4 linked regions of the Schizosaccharomyces pombe genome follow. Changing the gene in region 3 together with the main gene of any one other region gives a genetic interaction. Each region holds a gene or a part of one and is shown on either strand. Other genes may lie near its edges.

Region 1 (5,772 bases), on a different chromosome or scaffold from region 3:
TCGACAGCTTCATCAATAGCCGCTTTATCTACTAGGGGTTTTTCAAGGGAAGGGCAGCCAAGCCCTTTCCATAATTTCCAATTACCCTCAATATGTATAATTTCTTTAATGGTTCTTTGCACAGAACCACACCGGGCAGTATGTAAGAAACTATATGCTTCTTTGGATAATTCATTTAACTTTGAGGTCTACATATTAGCAATCAATAAAATCAGTTTTTTTCGAGTCTAAAAAAGAACATACATCTTCGTCAGACAAAATAACAATGGGAATTACCGCCTTATTTGTCCATTTTTCAAGAGTTCTCCTTTCAATTCGTTCTTTAGAATGGTCAAGCAAAAAGTCGAAAATAATAATTAATTGTAAAATAGCCTGTAACCGGAAATCTTCATCTGAAAGTTGGTATTCAAAAAGCGACCGAGAATATATATATTTAGAAGGAAATCCTTTATCCAAAGTTATATATTTTTCAGAAAGTAATGAGCTAGAGTTTGGATCAATTGTAGGGTTTGACTTCCCATTGAAGAACGTATTTTGTAATATAGATTCGAATGCCTGTATTGCAGAACCAGCTGCATCTATAAACTTAGGTAAGGTATCACTTGCTAGTAATTTAGGAGGGTTGGAGCACATACACTGCAAATCCCAATAAGCAGTAAATAAGGTATTAAGTTTTTTGTGATATGAGAGGTCTGTTCGGTCCGAAATGGGTGTGGATGGTGGTGACAGTTCTACCTTCCCAAAAGAATGAACAGTATTATAATCTCCACGTAAATTGGCTCCACTCCGTTCTTCAGGGGGGAAAGCCTTACTTAGCAGAATATCGATCCGCCCACAAAAAGATGAATTTTCTTGCCGAGAAAGACGCCGGAGTAATTCATTTGATATCCGAAGCAAAACGGGTCCTCTTCCACGATTGCTGACAATACCTTTCATCAAGCTAGGTCTGGTTTCAAAATATTCATATAATTTGGCGCATTCGTTGACGGTGTGAATGTCCATCAGCTCTTCCAAGATTAGAAAAGGCAACAGGTGATCACAGAAGCTTTCGTTAATTTCGTTCCCTATTACTAAGAGATCCAAAATCGCAAATAAACATTTTAATCGCTCCTCCAATCCAATCTCACTTTTGCGCTACACGAAAATAACAATTAGTAACTTAAGGAAAACTTCATTATGGAAAAAGCACATACTGCTGTTTCATAACAGCAAAATCTTATTGCCGTTTCAAACTCAGTTGAGTTATGAAAACTCTCAACAATCGAAGGCCATAATTCTTTGATGAATAATTCATATTCAGAACAAAGTGGACTCTTATCCAGTTCTTTTGCCTTTTCTAATGGATATGTATTATAAAAAGCTTCAATTAAACCCTTTTGCACCTCCATTACTTTAAAAGTCTGCGAATATACAATCCGCGCGCAGAAACGTGAGTTTATCTAGCATTGACAATGTCATTTAGAAATAAGGATTTATTCGTTATTGCTTTGTGTGGTTCATTGCTTCTCGCTATAACAGGAGCAGCATGAAGGAATATGTAATTTTGCCCTTAACCAAACAACAAAGTATTTTCTTAAATTTGCAGTGAGTCTGAAAATGAGACTTTATTTAAGAAATTGATAGGATATGAGTGTCAATGAAGATCTATCCCATTTAGGGGTTTTTTCGGTTGACCAAGAGAATTTGGAACGCGATGTTACGAATACTGCTAGTGAGTACATTGCACATGAAAGTCGAGAGATCGAAAAGAAGAGACTTCAAAAAGTCAGGAAAGAAATATCTTCTGTAAAAGAAAAAATACGTCGCCTTGATGAGCGTATAGACAGTCGACTTACAAAAATAAGTGTCAAGGAGAACTTCCGCAAACAATTATCTAAATTCCGAGACACTCTTCAAAGTTTACAATCAGACGAAAATGATATTAAGAGAAGACTTAATAACGAAGATTCGGCAAATGCCCCTGGTATAGGTGCATTTTCGACTGAAGAATTGGAAAGACAAGAGCTCATCCGTACTGGTAAGGTTACACCGTTTCGAAATCTCTCTGGACTACAAAAAGAAGTTGATTTTGATGATGAATCTAGCATTCGTGAGGCTGTTATAAAGTCTGAAGGAACATACTATGAAACGGCACCTCATTTGAGTTCGGAGCCGTCAAATATTGATCATGGGATTATTCCAAGAGACGAAAAAGATGAGTACGTAACTGTGGATGCTGTTACGGAGAAAGTAGTAACTGCCGCTATAGATGATGGAGATGATTTGGTATATCGACAAAGGCTTAATGCTTGGTGTGCGAATCGTAAGGAATTACGAGATCAGGCCTCAGCATCTGAAAACAATAAAGATAGAGGAGAGTTTGAAGGTAAAGATGAGTGGTTACTACCTCATCCTTCCAAAAAAGGACAGACTTTTGAGGGTGGATTTACCATCCCAGGTGATATTCGCCCACATCTTTTCCGTTATCAAGTCACTTGCGTACAATGGTTATGGGAACTCTATTGTCAAGAGGCCGGAGGAATCATTGGTGATGAAATGGGACTAGGAAAAACTATTCAAATAGTATCTTTCCTTTCGTCTTTGCATCACTCTGGCAAATTTCAAAAGCCTGCACTTATCGTTTGTCCAGCGACTTTAATGAAGCAGTGGGTTAATGAGTTTCATACATGGTGGGCTCCATTACGTGTTGTTGTTCTTCATGCTACTGGCAGCGGACAGCGTGCTTCACGCGAAAAGAGACAGTATGAATCTGACGCTTCTGAAAGTGAAGCGGAAGAAAGCAAAACCTCCATAAAATTAAGAGGTGCTTCAAGTTCATTCCACAGATACGCTAAGAACTTAGTTGAAAGTGTCTTCACTAGAGGCCACATTTTAATTACAACATATGCTGGTTTAAGGATATATGGTGATTTGATTTTACCACGGGAATGGGGTTATTGTGTTTTGGATGAAGGGCACAAAATACGAAACCCAGATTCTGAAATATCTATTTCGTGTAAGCAAATCCGTACTGTGAATAGGATTATCCTCTCAGGGACTCCGATCCAGAACAACCTTACCGAGCTTTGGAATTTATTTGATTTTGTATTTCCTGGAAGATTGGGTACATTACCGGTATTTCAAAATCAATTTGCCTTACCTATTAATATTGGTGGTTATGCCAATGCTTCAAATGTTCAAGTGCAAACCGCTTATAAATGCGCCTGCATGCTTCGAGATTTAATTTCTCCTTATTTACTTAGAAGAATGAAGCTTGACGTTGCTGCAGATTTACCTAAGAAGTCCGAACAAGTATTGTTCTGTAAGCTGACTCCTTTACAAAGGAAAGCTTACCAAGATTTTTTGCAAGGCTCTGATATGCAAAAGATCTTGAACGGAAAGCGTCAAATGCTTTATGGAATTGATATACTACGAAAAATTTGTAATCATCCAGATCTTGTAACTCGAGAGTACTTGTTACATAAAGAAGATTACAACTATGGTGATCCTGAAAAGTCTGGCAAACTGAAGGTTATTAGAGCATTACTAACTTTGTGGAAAAAACAAGGACATAGAACTCTTCTATTTTCTCAGACTCGCCAAATGCTCGACATACTGGAAATAGGATTAAAGGATTTGCCGGATGTTCATTACTGTCGCATGGATGGTAGCACATCTATTGCTTTAAGACAAGATTTGGTGGACAACTTTAATAAAAATGAGTATTTTGATGTGTTTCTTCTAACTACTCGTGTTGGTGGATTAGGAGTCAATTTGACTGGTGCTGACAGGGTAATTCTTTTTGATCCTGATTGGAATCCCTCAACGGATGCTCAAGCACGTGAACGTGCTTGGAGACTGGGCCAAAAGAAAGATGTAGTAGTTTATCGGTTGATGACTGCTGGAACTATTGAAGAAAAAATTTATCATCGTCAAATCTTTAAGCAGTTTCTGACTAACAAAATTTTGAAAGATCCAAAACAAAGAAGGTTTTTTAAAATGACGGACTTGCACGATTTGTTTACGTTAGGCGATAACAAGACTGAGGGCACTGAGACAGGCAGCATGTTTTTGGGATCTGAACGAGTACTTCGAAAGGATAATTCCTCAAGAAATGGCAATGAAGCTGAAGATATTCCAGCTCGTGACCGAAAAAAGCACAAAATTCACGACAAAGGTAAAAAAGTTAACAGCTCCAAAGTGTTTGAAAAAATGGGGATTGCATCGATGGAAAAGTATAAACCACCGCAAGAGTCAAATGTTACTAAGACAAACTCTGATTCGACTTTAGGGGATGATTCCGTCCTTGATGATATTTTTGCTAGTGCTGGTATTCAGAGTACTTTAAAGCACGACGATATCATGGAAGCCTCCCAGACTGAAAGCATATTGGTTGAAAAAGAAGCGACGCGTGTTGCTAATGAAGCTCTGCGTGCAGTTTCATCTTTTCGGCGACCTCCTCGTCAACTTATACCTCCGCAGCAATCTACTAATGTTCCTGGTACTTCTAAACCATCAGGTCCGATTACTTCAAGCACTCTTCTTGCCCGACTAAAACAGAGACGATGAATTAATTAGAAGAAGTTCGCCTTAGAGTAAGCTGTATCCATTAAAATTTCGGACCCAATCTTGTACCCATTTATTTATTTATTATTATTTCCCTTTATTTTGTACATTAAGTTTTTCATGATTTAAGCTTTATTTATGGATTTATTGATAGACACGCGATCATTTCATTTTTTGAATGGGAATTATCCTTATTACTAGGTGGGTTTACTTTGCTTGAAAAGTATTGGAAATGTCAATTCCATGTTGAGGATAGGGCTGTCGGAATTACTTTGATCATTTTTCCCTTTTGTTAAAGTACTTGGTTAAAGTGTGTTAATGTTATTGTAAGCAAGCACTTGACAAATTCGCTTTACCTGAGACCTAAAATTAGCGTTAATAACTTTCTAGTTGGCTGAGAAAAGTATGAACACTCAAAGCGGCTTAGTTAGTGGTATGTGCAACCCGTGCAACCCTTTTTGTAGCTATAAATTACTACGTTCTTTTGTCAACGTTATTAGAATGCTAGAGTCATGTTTGTTGACAGTGTCAGAAAAGACCTTTTAATTAGAAAACTAGTGGTTCAAAAATTTTGATGTCTTGGTGCTTATTGGCGAACTTATTACTAGTACTTTTTCATTTTATATAAATTAATATTTGTATATAAGCAATGCAACCGCATCTAACCATTTTTACACACATATTTGGTTTTACCAAAAACTTGACTCGTTAATTAATTTTGGGAGCTGCAACCAACGCTGTACTTTCGTAAGATTACTTGAAATTCGAAGTCTATGTAGTTCGCTGAAACAAAATAAGACTCTGCTTCAAACAATGTTCTCTGTTGGTAAAAAAATCTCTTTTATTTTGCCTATTAAGGGCGTATTGCAAAAATTAAAGGATAATGCTCAAAAAACCGTTCTCTTGGATGCTACTTGGTACTTGCCAACAGACACTAAAAACGGAAAGAAGGAGTATTTAGAAAGTCGTCTTCCAGGTGCTCAATACTTTGATATAGATGAGGCTAAAGATCACAAAAATCCCCTTCCTCATATGCTTCCTCCAGCTGACGAATTCGCCTCTTACGTTGGAAAATTAGGAATTGACAGAAACGTAAGTAGTAGTTTAGAAATTCCAATTACTTAGTCTTCAATTTTACTAATATTTTAGACCAATGTTATCATTTATGACCGAAAAGGGTTTTTTTCGTCTCCTAGGGTTTTCTGGACCTTTAAAGTCTTTGGTCAT
Region 2 (4,177 bases), on a different chromosome or scaffold from region 3:
TCTTTGCATTATCTCCGACACTTTGAACTGTTTGCTCATTTTCTTTTAGTGTTGGTGAAATGCCATTTTCCATATGCGTAGGCATAACCTTATCTGAACCCTCAGCTTCCTCTACCTTACCCAAAGAACTAACTTCCATTGCGCTAGTTCCAAAAGGGACGATATAGTCATTGGTAGTATTTGCAAATAATATTCTTTTTTCAAAAAACGAAACAGCTTGAAAGAAAGGCGTGGAAGGATCAGACATCAAAACAAGGAAAGGTCTTGATTCAATGGAGTGATTCAGTGGAGTTAAAGATAAGTCTTGTCCTGTCTTACCAATGATACCATAGGACAAAGCCTTACCAATATAAGAAGGATGTTCACCAGCAACACCGAGCCAAGGAGTTGCCAAAGTTACAAAAAACACAGGGTGAATAGCCTGAAAAAAGGCACCGTGCGTTTTTGCATGTACATAACCAACAGCATATGTTTGAACCAATCCACCAAGTGAGTGGGCGACAACTGATATATGGGAATATCGAGGAAAAGATGCACTTCCCCAGCCCGTAATATCCAACAGCCATTCACCAAGTCGTTTACCCAGCCAGCGAACCCCTTTCTCAGTCTGACAGTAGTTACCGGTAAATCCTCGAACAACTACTAGTTCCTTAACAGATTTTGATGATTCTATTAGTTTTTCTTTTAAATACTCCATATCAGCACCAACATTAGAATGCATTCCATGAGTTAGCACCACCAAATGTGAATTCTTTGAATGAAATGAAGAATACGGAAGACGCCATAAATTTTCCGGAGTTTGATGTTCAACGTGTAGAGCAGGGAATGCATGAAGAGTATCGATATCAGCAGCTGACATGGCTCGAATGGAATGTTGAGATTGCGATATAGCAAGCTCAAAGTTAATAGATCTATCTTTAAAAATCGCCTGACTTGCAATTTCAATGTAAATAGGCTGCTGATTGGAAAAACATGAATAAGGTACACAGACCCAAAAACTAGTAGAGGGCTGTACCTGAGGATCAAAGTTTAATAAAGAATTTTTTTCATCAAAAAATTGGTCATTCCAAACGCTAACGCATAATGTAAATGGACCTTGAAGATAGGCTGCCTGGCGGAAACGTGCTTCTCTATTCCTGACACGAATCCAAAGTACCGAGTTAGTCGAATTTATGAAGGGAGCTGTAGAGTCGCTTCCTGCCAAGGGATTTTTTACTTCACGAAGATTAATAGAAGAGAATGAAGTACCTACAGAAGGAGAAGAAGAGGTATGAGAGACACCTCTTGTTTGTTCAGGTATGTTGATTGCATTGGTATTATCTGTAAACGCACCAACTTTATGATAATCTTTTGAAGAAGATGAAAAATCGCTGGAAAGAAGAGGTGAGGATTCTGAATTTGCATGCTTCGGATTCGTGCTACTATTATTCTCTGAGATTTGCTTGCTGATATTCTCCCCACTAGAGATTGTCATCCCACCTGAACCTGCTCTATCCTCGATGCTACCACTCTCTTTCTTAGTCACTGAATTGAGGTTCACAGTGGGGGGCACAGTTGTAGAAGACGTTGCCGAATGCAAATTGCCCCCACTCTGCACAAAAATTCGAAATCGATGTATTTGACCTAAACCAACTGTACCATGCCAATGTTAGAACAAGTATTAAATATTTATATGCCATCCCAAAATTTTTGCATCGAAACAAGCATAACAAATCGAAACTTTAAATAACGAGCTGATAATATCAACTTGCAAATACAATTTAAAGGAGTGGTAAATTTTGTTTAAAGTAACTTACCGTCATCTCGTTGTACATATACATTCATAATGTCAGAAGTCAAGCGATGACAACTCAAAAACTAGTAAATCTGAAAATTAGCTATTCGTGAAAGGTGAGAGATATCAATTATTTTTCAATACCGGTCAACGAATAGGGATAAAATTTTATCTGTTTCAATTAGTAAATCGCTAGTTGCTCATATCACGTAAAAAGTAACGCGAATTTATCAGTGTCCTACCGGTAAAATTTGTTCGCTCGATTCCTTTGTTAGACTAGCTGTTCGACGAACCTATATAAACTCAGTTTTTCTAATTTTTGAGCAAAAGCAAAAATCGAACGACTTCACGGGAAATAAAGCAAGATGGTAAGAGATGCATAAAAAGCTTTCTTTAATGAAGAAGACACCAAAATTGAGTCCTTTGCTAACAATTAAAGTCGTATAATGGAATTGGATTACCCACTCCAAGAGGATCAGGAACAAATGGATACGTAATGCGGAATCTGTCTCACGTAAAAAAATATGACAAAAATACAAATCTACAGTCAAATCGAAATGCAAAAGCTCTGGAAAAACGGGTTCAAGATCCTTCAATAAGCGAGCATGAATGCCGTCGACAAATTGAGTCGAAGTTGTTGTTGTACAGAGAGCAGTTGTTGGAGGAGGTCAGTTCCCAACACAGCACTGATGCAGCGGCATCTGATTCCAATACAAATTTTGGGACTGAAAACCCGAAGCCACCTAAAGCAATTATAAAAGATGAGCAATCACAATCGAAAACTAAATCTTTAGATGAAGCTGATGTAGAAATTTTAGTACAAAAATATCGAGAACAGTTACTTAAAGAATTGCAATTACAAAAATCTACTGAAAAAGGAAAAAATTTTGAATCCATTCTTCAACCTCAGAAAAGAAAAGAAACAAGAGGATTTCACTCGAAAAATGACGATGATGGGCGATTAGAAGAAAGAGACGATTTGAGATCATCAGTTGACGATGATTATTATGATTACCCGCGTTATTCCGAGAGGAAATCATTAAATTCAAAAAGGCATGTGGACAATTACAATGAAAATAGAAGAAGACATTACGATTCGTATTCCTCCTACGATGAATTAGAAAGACGACGGAGTAGTAATGAAAGTTACTCAAGGCGTTCTGAATTACCCAGAAGAGATTATAATAGACACGATGAACGGGAAAGGTATTCTTATCATAGAAGGAGAGAAAGAAGCAATTCACCCTCCTATACGAAGAATGAGTCAATTCCTGTTGTGGACAGGGATTCCTCTCCTGAGGGTGGCGAAATTGTATGAGGCCCAAAGAGTTAGGCCAGTTAAAACAATAATATAATAGGCAATTCATGCAAGCATGTATTGTTTATTAATATTGGATAATTATTCGGGTCATCAACAATCGTTGGATTAATATGAATATTTGGTTAGCAATACACGTTAGTCAAATCCCATGAAGCACACGACTGTTCAATGATATAAAAAATATTATTCTTCAAAGAAAAAATACTATCGACTTTATATTAAGGCTGTTAAGTTGCACGATTTAAACATCATTTGATATTTTTCTTTTTCACGGAGGGATAATGAAGCAATTTTAAATTTACAATTACGCTTTTACATTTGTATTTTAAATTCATTAATTAAGCATAAAAGAATCTTTTTAATAAAGATTTTCGAGATTATTCACGCGATTTTAGTCAAAGTAGCTCTTGGCGGCTTTGTTTTCCTGCATACTGTAAATCTCAGAGCTTTTATACCAATAATGTTTATTATATATATTTTACAAAATGAACTTGCTTTAAAGCAATATTAATTATATAATAAAACCAATTTATAAAAAAAATTATAATATAAGTTTAATTATAAATAATACAATTTTTATTTTCTGATGATCTTCGGATCACTTTGGTCAAATTGAAACGATACAGAGAAGATTGTAAGTAACAATATTTACCAAGGTTCGAGTCATACTAACTCGTTGTTTAGAGCATGGCCCCTGCACAAGGATGACACTGCGACATTGAGAGAAAACCCATTTTTTTTTCTAAACAAAATTAATCATACATTCAAATCTTGATTTCCAATCGCTTTAACTTTTTTAAAATAAATATCTATTGTTTCATATAACTTTCAATTTCCTAGATACTACAGTACATTAAACACGTATTACAACTTCTTGCTAAGTCGCAAAGCATTAATTAATTAGTTTTCTGTAGATAATTGAAAAGAAAAAAAACATTTTTTCATCGAAATTTTTTATTGGACAGGTAAATATATTTAACGCGATTACTCTATCGAAATCTGAATTAAAAACTAGTTAAAAATTTTCGACTAGCTTGTTTGTTACTATCGCCAATATACCAAGCTTTGTTCACAAAGCAATT
Region 3 (4,696 bases):
TATAAACATCATCTGCGTACAAAAAACGCAGAGGTATAGCGGACAAGCATCCAGGTGTATTTGGCTCATCTAAGAACATTAAATCATAAGTTACCTGGAATATAACCAACTCACAAGACGATAATGCGAAGAGCAAACTTGGTTCTCCATTAGAGAAAACCAATTGTCTCACTGGTTGTGAGAATTTCCATATTGGATCCTCAGCAAACTCAAAAGCCGATACATTCAAGTAAAATGGGAATTCTTCAAAAGTTGCAGTATTTTGTAATGTCGGAGATGCACGAAAAATCCATGGAGACGAGAGGCATAAAAAGAGGAGATTTTCCGCAGTTTCATTGCTAATCTTGCTACAAGCAAGACATTCAGTTGTGGTGTATCTGTTTTTATCTGATGGCGCTGTTTTACCCAAGCAAAAAGTATTTAAAATATGTGGATTATATATAGACTCAGCAGAAGAAGCTAATTGAGACTCTTTCGCTAGTGTAGAAAATAAATTTCGCGGAACATATCTGCAAACACTTAAACCAAATGAACTACTAGTCGCTTTACGCGTGGAATTGGTGGCCTCAGCAGGAAGCTCAGTTAATTTAGGGAGTTTGTAGTTTGGATTTAAAGATAAGATATCCCATCTTTTGTCCAAGTCAACAAGCTCGACGCCCGTATAGGAGTCATACCTAGCAAAAGTCCATTCATTATTTTCAACCTTCTCCGCTCTGTGATAGCCAGATGGATTTAAAAGTTGACACGCCCCTATAATTCCATAATCCAAACTTACACTAGGTTTTTTACTAATTGCATCAATAGGCCATGTTGACATGAAGATAATTAGAAAAATAAAATTAGATTGAATTGTGTTTACAAAAACACATCTAACGACAATACAAGAGCAACCTAGCGACAAAGCAAGTAATCAGTGTTTCAAGGAAGCAATGCTGGAGTAATTTCACCTATAGTTAAGAACTTGACTTTATTGTTATACTATAATATATTTAAAGTGCTATCTTTAAACCATTATATAATTATATAAAATATAACTCCTACCGACTACATGCTTTCAATTGAACAATTTATTGATTTATGTTAACTGAGAATTTCTCTTTACTAGAAAAAGATGAAGTTTAAAAGTAATACTTAAATTAGTCATAAGACAGTGTTCAAGTAGGAGAGGAGTTCTTCTCCGAAGTCTCTAAGCTGCTATCAATTACATGTAGATTAACACAGCAACAAAACAATCTCCTTTACAATGAAATGCAAACGCTTACGATTTTGGAATGATTTAGCAATAGATAAATTGGTTTACGAATGTTGCATTAGCCCAGTTTTCCCTTTTCATAAAAAATACGTAAGGAGGTGCTGATACCTGAGGAAGAGTGCAATATTCAGATTAGCAAGTGTTTTGAATTCTCTTTAGTGTCCGCTTAACCAATTTTATCGATATGTTTATAATTTTGTAAAGTCAATAAGTTAGTTCAGCCTGTTATTTGTAAGTAATTTATTGTATGCAACGTCTAAAGGAGCTTGATACATTTTAACGTACCATTAAATATATTTAGACTTAAAAGCATCTTTCAAGTAATGTCAAGAAACCTAAAAAGACCGCTCGGCGACTTACATTCTAGCAAAACGTTGATTAAAAGAATGGCAATTAAGCTAGCTTCTACAAATATTTAGACTTTTAATAAAATGAAAATTAATTTTTCTTGCACAGAAACCCATACAAGTAAAGTTTATTAGTTAAAAAAAATGAAAGCTTCTGCAATGAACTTTCATTTTACGAACTTAATAAATATTTACACCGTATTGTTTACATTTAAATTTGTTACTTTAAGGTAGTTTTGATATATCTTCTTAAGCATTACGTCTTATGAAAATGTTATTATTTGGGTTGTAGTTCATCATTATATATATTGTGCATCGTACCACCGTGTGATTCTGGCTTTGTTTTCCCACATATTTTAGGTCTAACTAACACATATTTAATTAATTACTCTTTTTTACTAAAAGGACTCTGCTTGGTCGTTGTATACTTTGTATGCATCGCTTCTTTTGGTGAATTTTTTAATTCTTTGCAATCGCAGCAGAGAGAAAATAATTGTAATGAATTCGATTGCTAGGCTATCAGATGAAATTAATAAAGCAATCCTTGCCACTCCTTTAGACGACGATGAAGCTGACAAAGAAAAACTTGCTAATGCTCGGGGGCGAGCTTCATCAGCTACTTTGAGGCATTATAATCGTCGTAGATCGTCTTATTCGGCGTCCAGCCTTAGCAGTTTGTCATCAAAACCGACGGAAAAGGAAGTTCCTACAAGGAATGAAAAACCGAAGCATGCCAACATTATGCGTGTTGTCGTCTACTGGATTCGTGTGTTCCTGAAACGAATTTATACGTTTTTCGTTCATTCCGCTCGTGTATTTTTGTACCACTTTTTGAATGAAGAGAAAGAGTTTACCCTTGCAAGTTTTTTTTGGGGTCTATGCCGGTTTGTCTTTTTTCCTGTATTATTATCGTATAAACGCCGAGAGATGCTTCCCCCTCAGCCAAGTGTCCGCCGTCCTAGGTTTTATTCTTCTTATTCTTACCCATCCTCTCACCAGGATCCTGCCTATTCATCTTTCAAACGACATAGATCTTCTAATTCTTATAGCAGTTCTTCTAATGGAAATCATGTTCGTTTTCAGCCCTCTATTGCAGAAGAAGAAATTTCTTTCAATTCTTTTTCAAATTCATTGAATTCAGAAGAAGATGTGTGTGTTTCTCCTATGAAACCCAAAGAGGTCTCCCTAATGGGAAAAGCAAATTCCAATCGTTCAGGACATTCGCATCAACCTCAATCAACTCAGTTTTCCCCGCCTGCTAATGACAATATTTCTAAGCTGCCTTCCTCCTTTACGATAGTTAATGATCCTCTTAAATCTCCTTCTTCTTCCCGTCTCCGTATTAGAAACATTACTCTGTGTGCGGACAAAATACCGAGGCCTTTGTTGAATAGCAAGTTACCGAGAAAGACCCTTGTATTAGATTTGGATGAAACACTTATCCATTCCGTGTCTCGTGGTAGTCGAACGACTTCTGGACAGCCAATTGAAGTACATGTGCCTGGTGAACATCCAATCCTTTACTATATTCACAAAAGGCCTCATCTTGACTACTTTTTATCAAATGTGAGTCAATGGTTTCGCCTTATTTTGTTCACAGCATCTGTCCAGCCATATGCTGATCCAATAATTGATTATTTGGAGCGTGATAAAAAAATATTTGCTAAACGATACTACCGTCAACACTGTGCACTTGTCGATAGTTCTTTCGTTAAAGATATTTCCATTTGTAATATTCATCTTTCACGGATCATGATAATTGATAATTCTCCAGCCAGTTACAATGCTCATAAAGAAAATGCCATACCTATTGAAGGTTGGATTAGCGACCCCTCTGACGTTGATTTACTAAACTTACTTTCTTTTCTTCATGCACTGCAATATGTTCATGATGTGCGAGATCTTTTGGGGCTTCGTCTCGCAAAATAAGTGCTTTTCATGATTCCTTTTTTTTTTCGTGAGTAATTTACTCGTTATTTATCACCAGTAACGATGGTCTAAAATAACTTTTTCTACTGCATTAACATCTTGGGTGCCTTTCCTTTCTCATCATCAAACTTCTTTGTTATAACCTCAAAAGGGTACCTTTTGGATATTTCCTAGACCGCATTTGGGCCATTCCAGTTAAATAATTTTTGTTTCTTTTTGCTGATAATATGTCAATTAATGTAAGCCTAATCGTAAGAAATTCTTTCTAATAAACTAAACGCATGTTTTAAGAAAGATTAGTTTCTGCACTGATGTTCGCAGCAATTACGAAGGCAACTTACTTATGAAATTTCTTTCTAAATCAAGCTTTTAATAAACATGTTTATTCTATTTAAGTGTTGATTCTTTTTTTTTTACTTTTCAATCTGTTATTACAATCAACTTACTTAATCAGGATGGGCAAAGGATTATAAATGATTTAATGATTATAAACCAGATTACATAGACTTTTAGCATTTTAAAATCATATCACTAGGCTAACGACATTGTTCTAGCAAATAACATAACCCAAAACCACATTATTATTATATGTATCTAATAACACGAAAATTCAAAAAACCTAATATATGCAGAATTAATAGTTGAATCAATACCAACCACCACTTCTATTGAAGTTTAATACTTTTAACTAAACCAGCTTTAATACCAGTCTGCTCACCAGCATAGCCGCCCTGTGGTGCGCCCTTGTAAATAGCCTTTTTGCTGGCTAATTTCTTCTTAGCTTTTTCGTAGCGCATACGCTTTTTAAGTCGAGGATTTCTATTTTCTTTAGGTCGACGGGGAGTTAATCCTCTATTTTTAGCAATGTCTAAAGTAATTCCACGCTTATCACCTTCACCTAATTCAATTAGTTCTGGGTGCCTTGAAGCTCTTATTAAATCACGTTCGAGATCGTGATTTTCTTTACGGAGCTTTTTAGCCATCTTTGATTTTTTATCGAGAGACTCGTAATAATCCAAATCATCTTGATCTTCAACTTCACGATCGACATTTGCAGGTATGCCCATTGATTCCGGATCTTCATCATCAAGATCAGCACCAGCATCCTGATTTCGACCCCTGGCTGCAGCTTCTCTCATCAATCGCTGCTGGCGTTCAAATCTTCGTT
Region 4 (4,978 bases), 910 kb from region 3:
TCCGGGGGTTGGGCAACCTATCGTGTAATTAGCAAATGTAAGTAGCGTATATGTAAAATTAACAAACCTCCACATCCTTTTTTAAGTCACCGGTTGCATTAGATACTGTAGATGTTGTAGCCTGTCCAAAAAGTGACATTCTAATAGTTGTGGTAGTTGGTAAATTACTCGTATGCAGACAAAATTACTTGCTTCAACACACTACCACAAATGCTTTTGCCAACATTTGTACTTCAATCACTTACAGCGAATAAGCTTTGCTATTAGGAATACCCAATTGTTATTAATTAACAGTTGGAAACAAAATATTAGTATTTAATTACGGTCACAACATATCACAGGATTTACGCTCCCGAAGTACTCTTTTCTTAATACAATTGAATATAAAGTATGGATTTATGAAATTCATTAGAAAATGGAAGAATTTACCCTAGATAGAAACAGTAATGTTGGGAATTTAATAGCTCTTGCAGTCCTTAACAAATTTGATGAACTAGCCCGTCATGGCAAACCGATCATAAGAGCAAATGGGGTGCGTGAATGGACTACTTTAGCCGGTGTTGTCATTCAGAAAAAGATGGAGAACGAATTTATTTGTGTTTGTCTAGCGTACGTCTTTTTTATTAATATCGGTAAACTGACATCTAAAGAACAGGTGTAAAATGGTATGCTACCAATTGATTTTTTTCATTAACAAGTCAATTTAGTACGCCAGCTGGCATCATTAAGAATGAACAACTGGGTAGTGTATTACATGATTGTCATGCTGAGATTCTGGCATTAAGATGTTTTAACAGGTAATATATACAATTATTTGTATATTTGTTAGTATTCGTTACTAATAAAAGAATTAAGATTACTTCTCGAACATTGTATTTTAATTAAAGAATCAAAGAAAGATACGTGGCTTCTTGAAGTTGCTGATAATGGTAAATTTACTCTAAACAGCAATCTTCTGATACATCTGTACGTTTCCGAATGTCCTTGCGGAGATGCGAGTATGGAGCTACTAGCTAGCCGCTTGGAAAACAACAAACCATGGAACTTAACAGTTGATTCAGAGAAATTAATGCGTGGGAGGGCGGATTTTGGACTACTTGGAATCGTGCGTACTAAACCGGGGAGACCTGATGCCCCAGTAAGCTGGAGCAAAAGCTGTACTGATAAATTAGCTGCAAAACAATATCTTTCTATTTTGAATTCCCAGACCAGCCTCATTTGTGAGCCCATCTATTTATCATGTGTAGTGCTTTATAAAAAAGTGATAGTTAAATCAGCAATTGACAGAGCATTTGGACCCTTTGGTCGGTGCGCACCACTTGCTGAATTTGGAGAAAAGGATAATCCTTATTACTTTCATCCTTTTACCGTGCTGGAAACGGATGAAAATTTTTTATATTCACGGCCGTTGAACCAAGCAGAAAAAACTGCAACTAGTACAAACGTTTTGATATGGATCGGTGATAAAATGCAGTGTACTCAAGTGATACATAATGGTATTAAAGCGGGAACAAAAGCTAAAGACGTTGAAAAGTCTCAAACATTAATATGTAGAAAGAGTATGATGAATTTGCTGCATCAATTAAGTCAATCGTTGACTAATGAAAAAAACTATTATGAATGGAAGAAACTCAACATCAAACGTTGCCAGCAAAAGCAAATTCTTCGTAATATCTTAAAAAACTGGATCCCAAACGGAGGGAACGAATTTCAATGGATATAAGAAATCTAGAAACCTCAATATAAGATGTACGTATGAATTAAGGCATTAAATAAAACGAAGGATGGCTTTACCAGCGATAATAATTTTATTAACGACTGACTTGTTACATAACAAGTAAGAAATAAAAGAACGTGTTGCGAGGAATTAAAAGTTATTTTTTGCATTTCAAAATAATTCACATATAGAAATCTGTCAGAAAGGAAATGAACGACAACTAGAGTAATTAAAGTATTATAAAAATCATCTCATAACATTATTCCATAACTCGGTTTAAAATGTAAAAAGAAGGATCATCGAATTAAACCATAGTCTGAAAATTGCTTGCTGTGACTTGCAATACGCCTTACTTCGGAAGATGATGGATGAATGTTTTCTGGAGTGTTGGATATGGATACTGGAGTAGGCGGGCCAGTATAGTAATTTGAATTTGGTTTCTGAGCGCTTAAATGCTTTAACGGTGTAGAATTGCTTTTAGAAAGTGATTTTGGCCGAATGCGTCTAGGCGTTTTATGTTGTAAAAGAGATACGCTACGTGTCAATTTACCATGACGAACCCACAGATAATGAGAGGAGGAGCGTGATAGCGTACGAGAAGGGGTGCGTAAAGGAGAGGTATAAGGATCATACATATGTGTTAGATCATCAGAACCGATCGGTCTTGGCGTTGTCAAACCATTCTGATCATATATCGACTTCGTGGGAGATCCCATGGAAAGCCTGCGATTCCCTGAAAGATGTAAGGACGGAGGCTTTCCAGAAGAAAGCGATCTCTGGTTCCATATGGAGGTAACAGGTTCAGAGTTTGGACAATTGTGAAGCTTCGTTTTAGCGACAATGGGAAGATCTTGCAGAGGGGAAAATGTTTGATTAACTTGTACTTTATACATAGCCAATTCAAGACGTAAGCGTAAGTTTTTAGCACAACACTGAATGTCGTCTAAGTGATTATTGTTGGTATTGGTTTGTACTGGTGTCTTGGGTTCTAAATGTGTTTCTTTTTCCTGTTTCTCTCCTATCTCAGTAGAAGATTCTTTTTCCTCTTCACTCTCCGTACTACTAACAGATTTTATTTTTAAGACTGGCTCTTCACATGCATTTTCATCTGCAATTTCTACTGCACGCACATTTCGAGATCGAACCGCAATCGGTGAAATCGTCCCTGGAGCCGCATTCTCTTTTCCTAATGGTCTCTGCATCGGTGTTATAGGAAATAAATGTTGCACATTTTTTCCTTTTCCATACTCATACACTTCGTTTGTTGGCCTTTCCCCCAAAGTGTTTAAACGAGATGGGGTCAATGGTTCCATTGACCTATCCATCTTGTTATTTTTTCTAAACGGAAACCAATATAAAGATTCCTAGTAGCAGAGAATCAGAAGGAAAAGTAATAATCAGAGACAGTTTTTTTGCGACTCGTCGATTGTTGCGTACTTGTGGCACGTATATAAGCGGTGTCCAACGCAACGCGACGCGACGCCCTTTAAAGCGCGAATTCGCGATATAGCGCGTTTTATCAGTTTGCTCATATCCTCGAGTTTATTAATTATATTAACTTTCAAATTTTTTAAATAGCTATCAAAAATGATGCTATAAAAAGTAAACCGCAATTTGCATTATGAAGAGTGATTTACCTGTTATGTTACCGATACACAAACTCGTTCATAACTTTCCTATAGTCATTTTACAAGGTTAAGAAGGCTTTATTCAACGTCCGTTTCAATATCCCTGCAAACGACATTTGAAAATGACAAAATCAATTGGAATAATAAATGGAGTATTTGTGAATTGCACAGGCAGACCTACCGTACACTGAAATATGCTTTTGTTATGTACACAATTACTAAGGCTGATATTTACAGATTAAAAATAAGATACGTTATATCAAGATAACAGTCGGTAGACGATTTAAACGCGCATCTTCTTAATATTAGTTGTGAATAGATACGAGAATGAAATTTTTTTTACACACTAGTATTCGACCATTTTGAAAAATATTTAGTCAATTCATCGCAAAATGTGGATCAAAAAAGGGAATGCAACCACAGAATACACCTTAGACCGCTTTAATGATAAGAATCACTGAATAACCTAGAAACCCGAATGATGCTCAATGGAAAATAAACAAAAAGGGATCTGTAAGATAACACACACCTTTCCACATACGCTTGACAACGAAATTTCATCCAAGACCAATCAAACGCTCCACATCAATAGGCTACTCTCAAGTCACCAGTTCATCTATGCAAGAGCGGGAAAGTCAGTCTCAGAAAGGGTGGGAGGTGCCTGTTGGGTTTTTGAGGCAGTTTCTGAAGGACCACGACGGGGAGCACGGTTAGGACGGCCACCGCGAGCAGGACGAGCAGTAAAAGTTTGCTCGATATCAAGAAGAACCTTCTTTGGCTTGCTTTCCTTGGCAGCAGACTTCTTTTGAGAAGCGCTCTTCTTAAGAGAGGCAAACAATTCTTCGGGGGCACTCTTCTCGACCTTAGTAGCGTTTTCAAGTTTCTCAACAGTACGACCAACAGGCTTTGCGGCGGACTTGCGTTCAGACAGATATTCATCAAGAGTCTTAACATTTTCCTCCTCGGCAGCAGGAGTTTGGGCTCCAGAGGGAGTGTTACCTTCGTTCTCTGCAACATCAGGGTTAGCAGCAGAGTTTACGAGATCACCCCAGCCACGTTCAGTAGCCTTCTTGGTATCACTAAAATAATGGTTAGCAATTATATAATTTGGCATTCACATGTAGAAAAATAAAACACATACACTCTACCAGTTTGGCTATGGCGGTCAAATTCACGACCACGGCGAGCACGAGCATTGCGGCGGTTGGAGGGGGCGCCAGTGGCATCCACAGGATGGGCAGCGTTGTTAGCACGAGCTTCTTTGCCTTCACGAGCAAAGGCTTCGTTTCCTTGAGGAGCTTGACGGCGTCTGCGAGGTTGGTCTGCCTTCTTATTAACGGTACGCTCACGAGGAGTGGGTTGGTTAGGGTCACGCTTCCTAGAGGTGGTGCTTTGAGCGACTAATTCGCGGGGGACAGGAGGGCTGTCGGAGCGCTTTTTGTCACGAGAAGCAGCGGTTTTCTTCTCGGTAGTAGTAGCTGCGGGAGTCTCCTCTCCGAGGAGGTCAAAGAGGTTCTATAATTTGGTTACTACTTGCGAAAACAAAATAAAAATCAGCAGAGTCTGCAGAGCTAACACTCTAAAGAATAATGAACGAAATGTGAATTTATATTTTTTAATACTTGAGCGTCTT

Evidence for each region.
Region 1: mutations in nem1 (region 3) and rhp26 together harm fitness more than expected from each alone (negative genetic interaction), as found in Schizosaccharomyces pombe (one large-scale study listed by BioGRID).
Region 2: mutations in nem1 (region 3) and cwf21 together harm fitness more than expected from each alone (negative genetic interaction), as found in Schizosaccharomyces pombe (one large-scale study listed by BioGRID).
Region 4: mutations in nem1 (region 3) and nrm1 together harm fitness more than expected from each alone (negative genetic interaction), as found in Schizosaccharomyces pombe (one large-scale study listed by BioGRID).

The regions. Positions count from the first base shown.
Region 1 is NC_003421.2:1,178,412-1,184,183, reverse strand, and holds rhp26 (SNF2 family helicase Rhp26 ), read left to right. Parts: upstream 1-1,545; 5' UTR 1,546-1,626; coding exon 1,627-4,548; 3' UTR 4,549-5,252; downstream 5,253-5,772. Other genes in the region: THO complex subunit Tho1, read right to left, coding at 1-188, 244-1,134, 1,194-1,388; thiosulfate sulfurtransferase Tum1, read left to right, coding at 5,359-5,637, 5,695-5,772. UniProt on the Schizosaccharomyces pombe protein: Involved in transcription-coupled repair (TCR).
Region 2 is NC_003424.3:2,561,926-2,566,102, reverse strand, and holds cwf21 (protein Cwf21), read left to right. Parts: upstream 1-1,852; 5' UTR 1,853-2,139; coding exon 2,140-2,142; exon of another isoform or gene 2,143-2,213; coding exon 2,214-3,092; 3' UTR 3,093-3,626; downstream 3,627-4,177. Other genes in the region: rog1 (lipase), read right to left, coding at 1-1,632, 1,797-1,824. UniProt on the Schizosaccharomyces pombe protein: Involved in pre-mRNA splicing. May function at or prior to the first catalytic step of splicing at the catalytic center of the spliceosome. May do so by stabilizing the catalytic center or the position of the RNA substrate.
Region 3 is NC_003423.3:3,371,368-3,376,063, forward strand, and holds nem1 (Nem1-Spo7 phosphatase complex catalytic subunit Nem1), read left to right. Parts: upstream 1-1,934; 5' UTR 1,935-2,097; coding exon 2,098-3,528; 3' UTR 3,529-4,185; downstream 4,186-4,696. Other genes in the region: RNA polymerase I transcription factor subunit Rrn6, read right to left, coding at 1-817; U3 snoRNP-associated protein Utp3, read right to left, coding at 4,194-4,696. UniProt on the Schizosaccharomyces pombe protein: Catalytic component of the nem1-spo7 complex which acts as a phosphatase and may be required for proper nuclear membrane morphology.
Region 4 is NC_003423.3:4,284,106-4,289,083, reverse strand, and holds nrm1 (protein nrm1), read right to left. Parts: upstream 3,141-4,978; 5' UTR 3,043-3,140; coding exon 2,014-3,042; 3' UTR 1,724-2,013; coding exon of another isoform or gene 856-1,723; 3' UTR 798-855; coding exon of another isoform or gene 708-797; 3' UTR 666-707; coding exon of another isoform or gene 651-665; 3' UTR 610-650; downstream 1-609. Other genes in the region: nucleoporin Rae1, read right to left, coding at 1-17, 68-139; tad1 (tRNA specific adenosine deaminase), read left to right, coding at 416-609, 651-665, 708-797, 856-1,723; oga1 (protein stm1), read right to left, coding at 3,962-4,424, 4,487-4,860. UniProt on the Schizosaccharomyces pombe protein: Negative regulatory component of the MBF complex involved in cell-cycle-dependent transcription.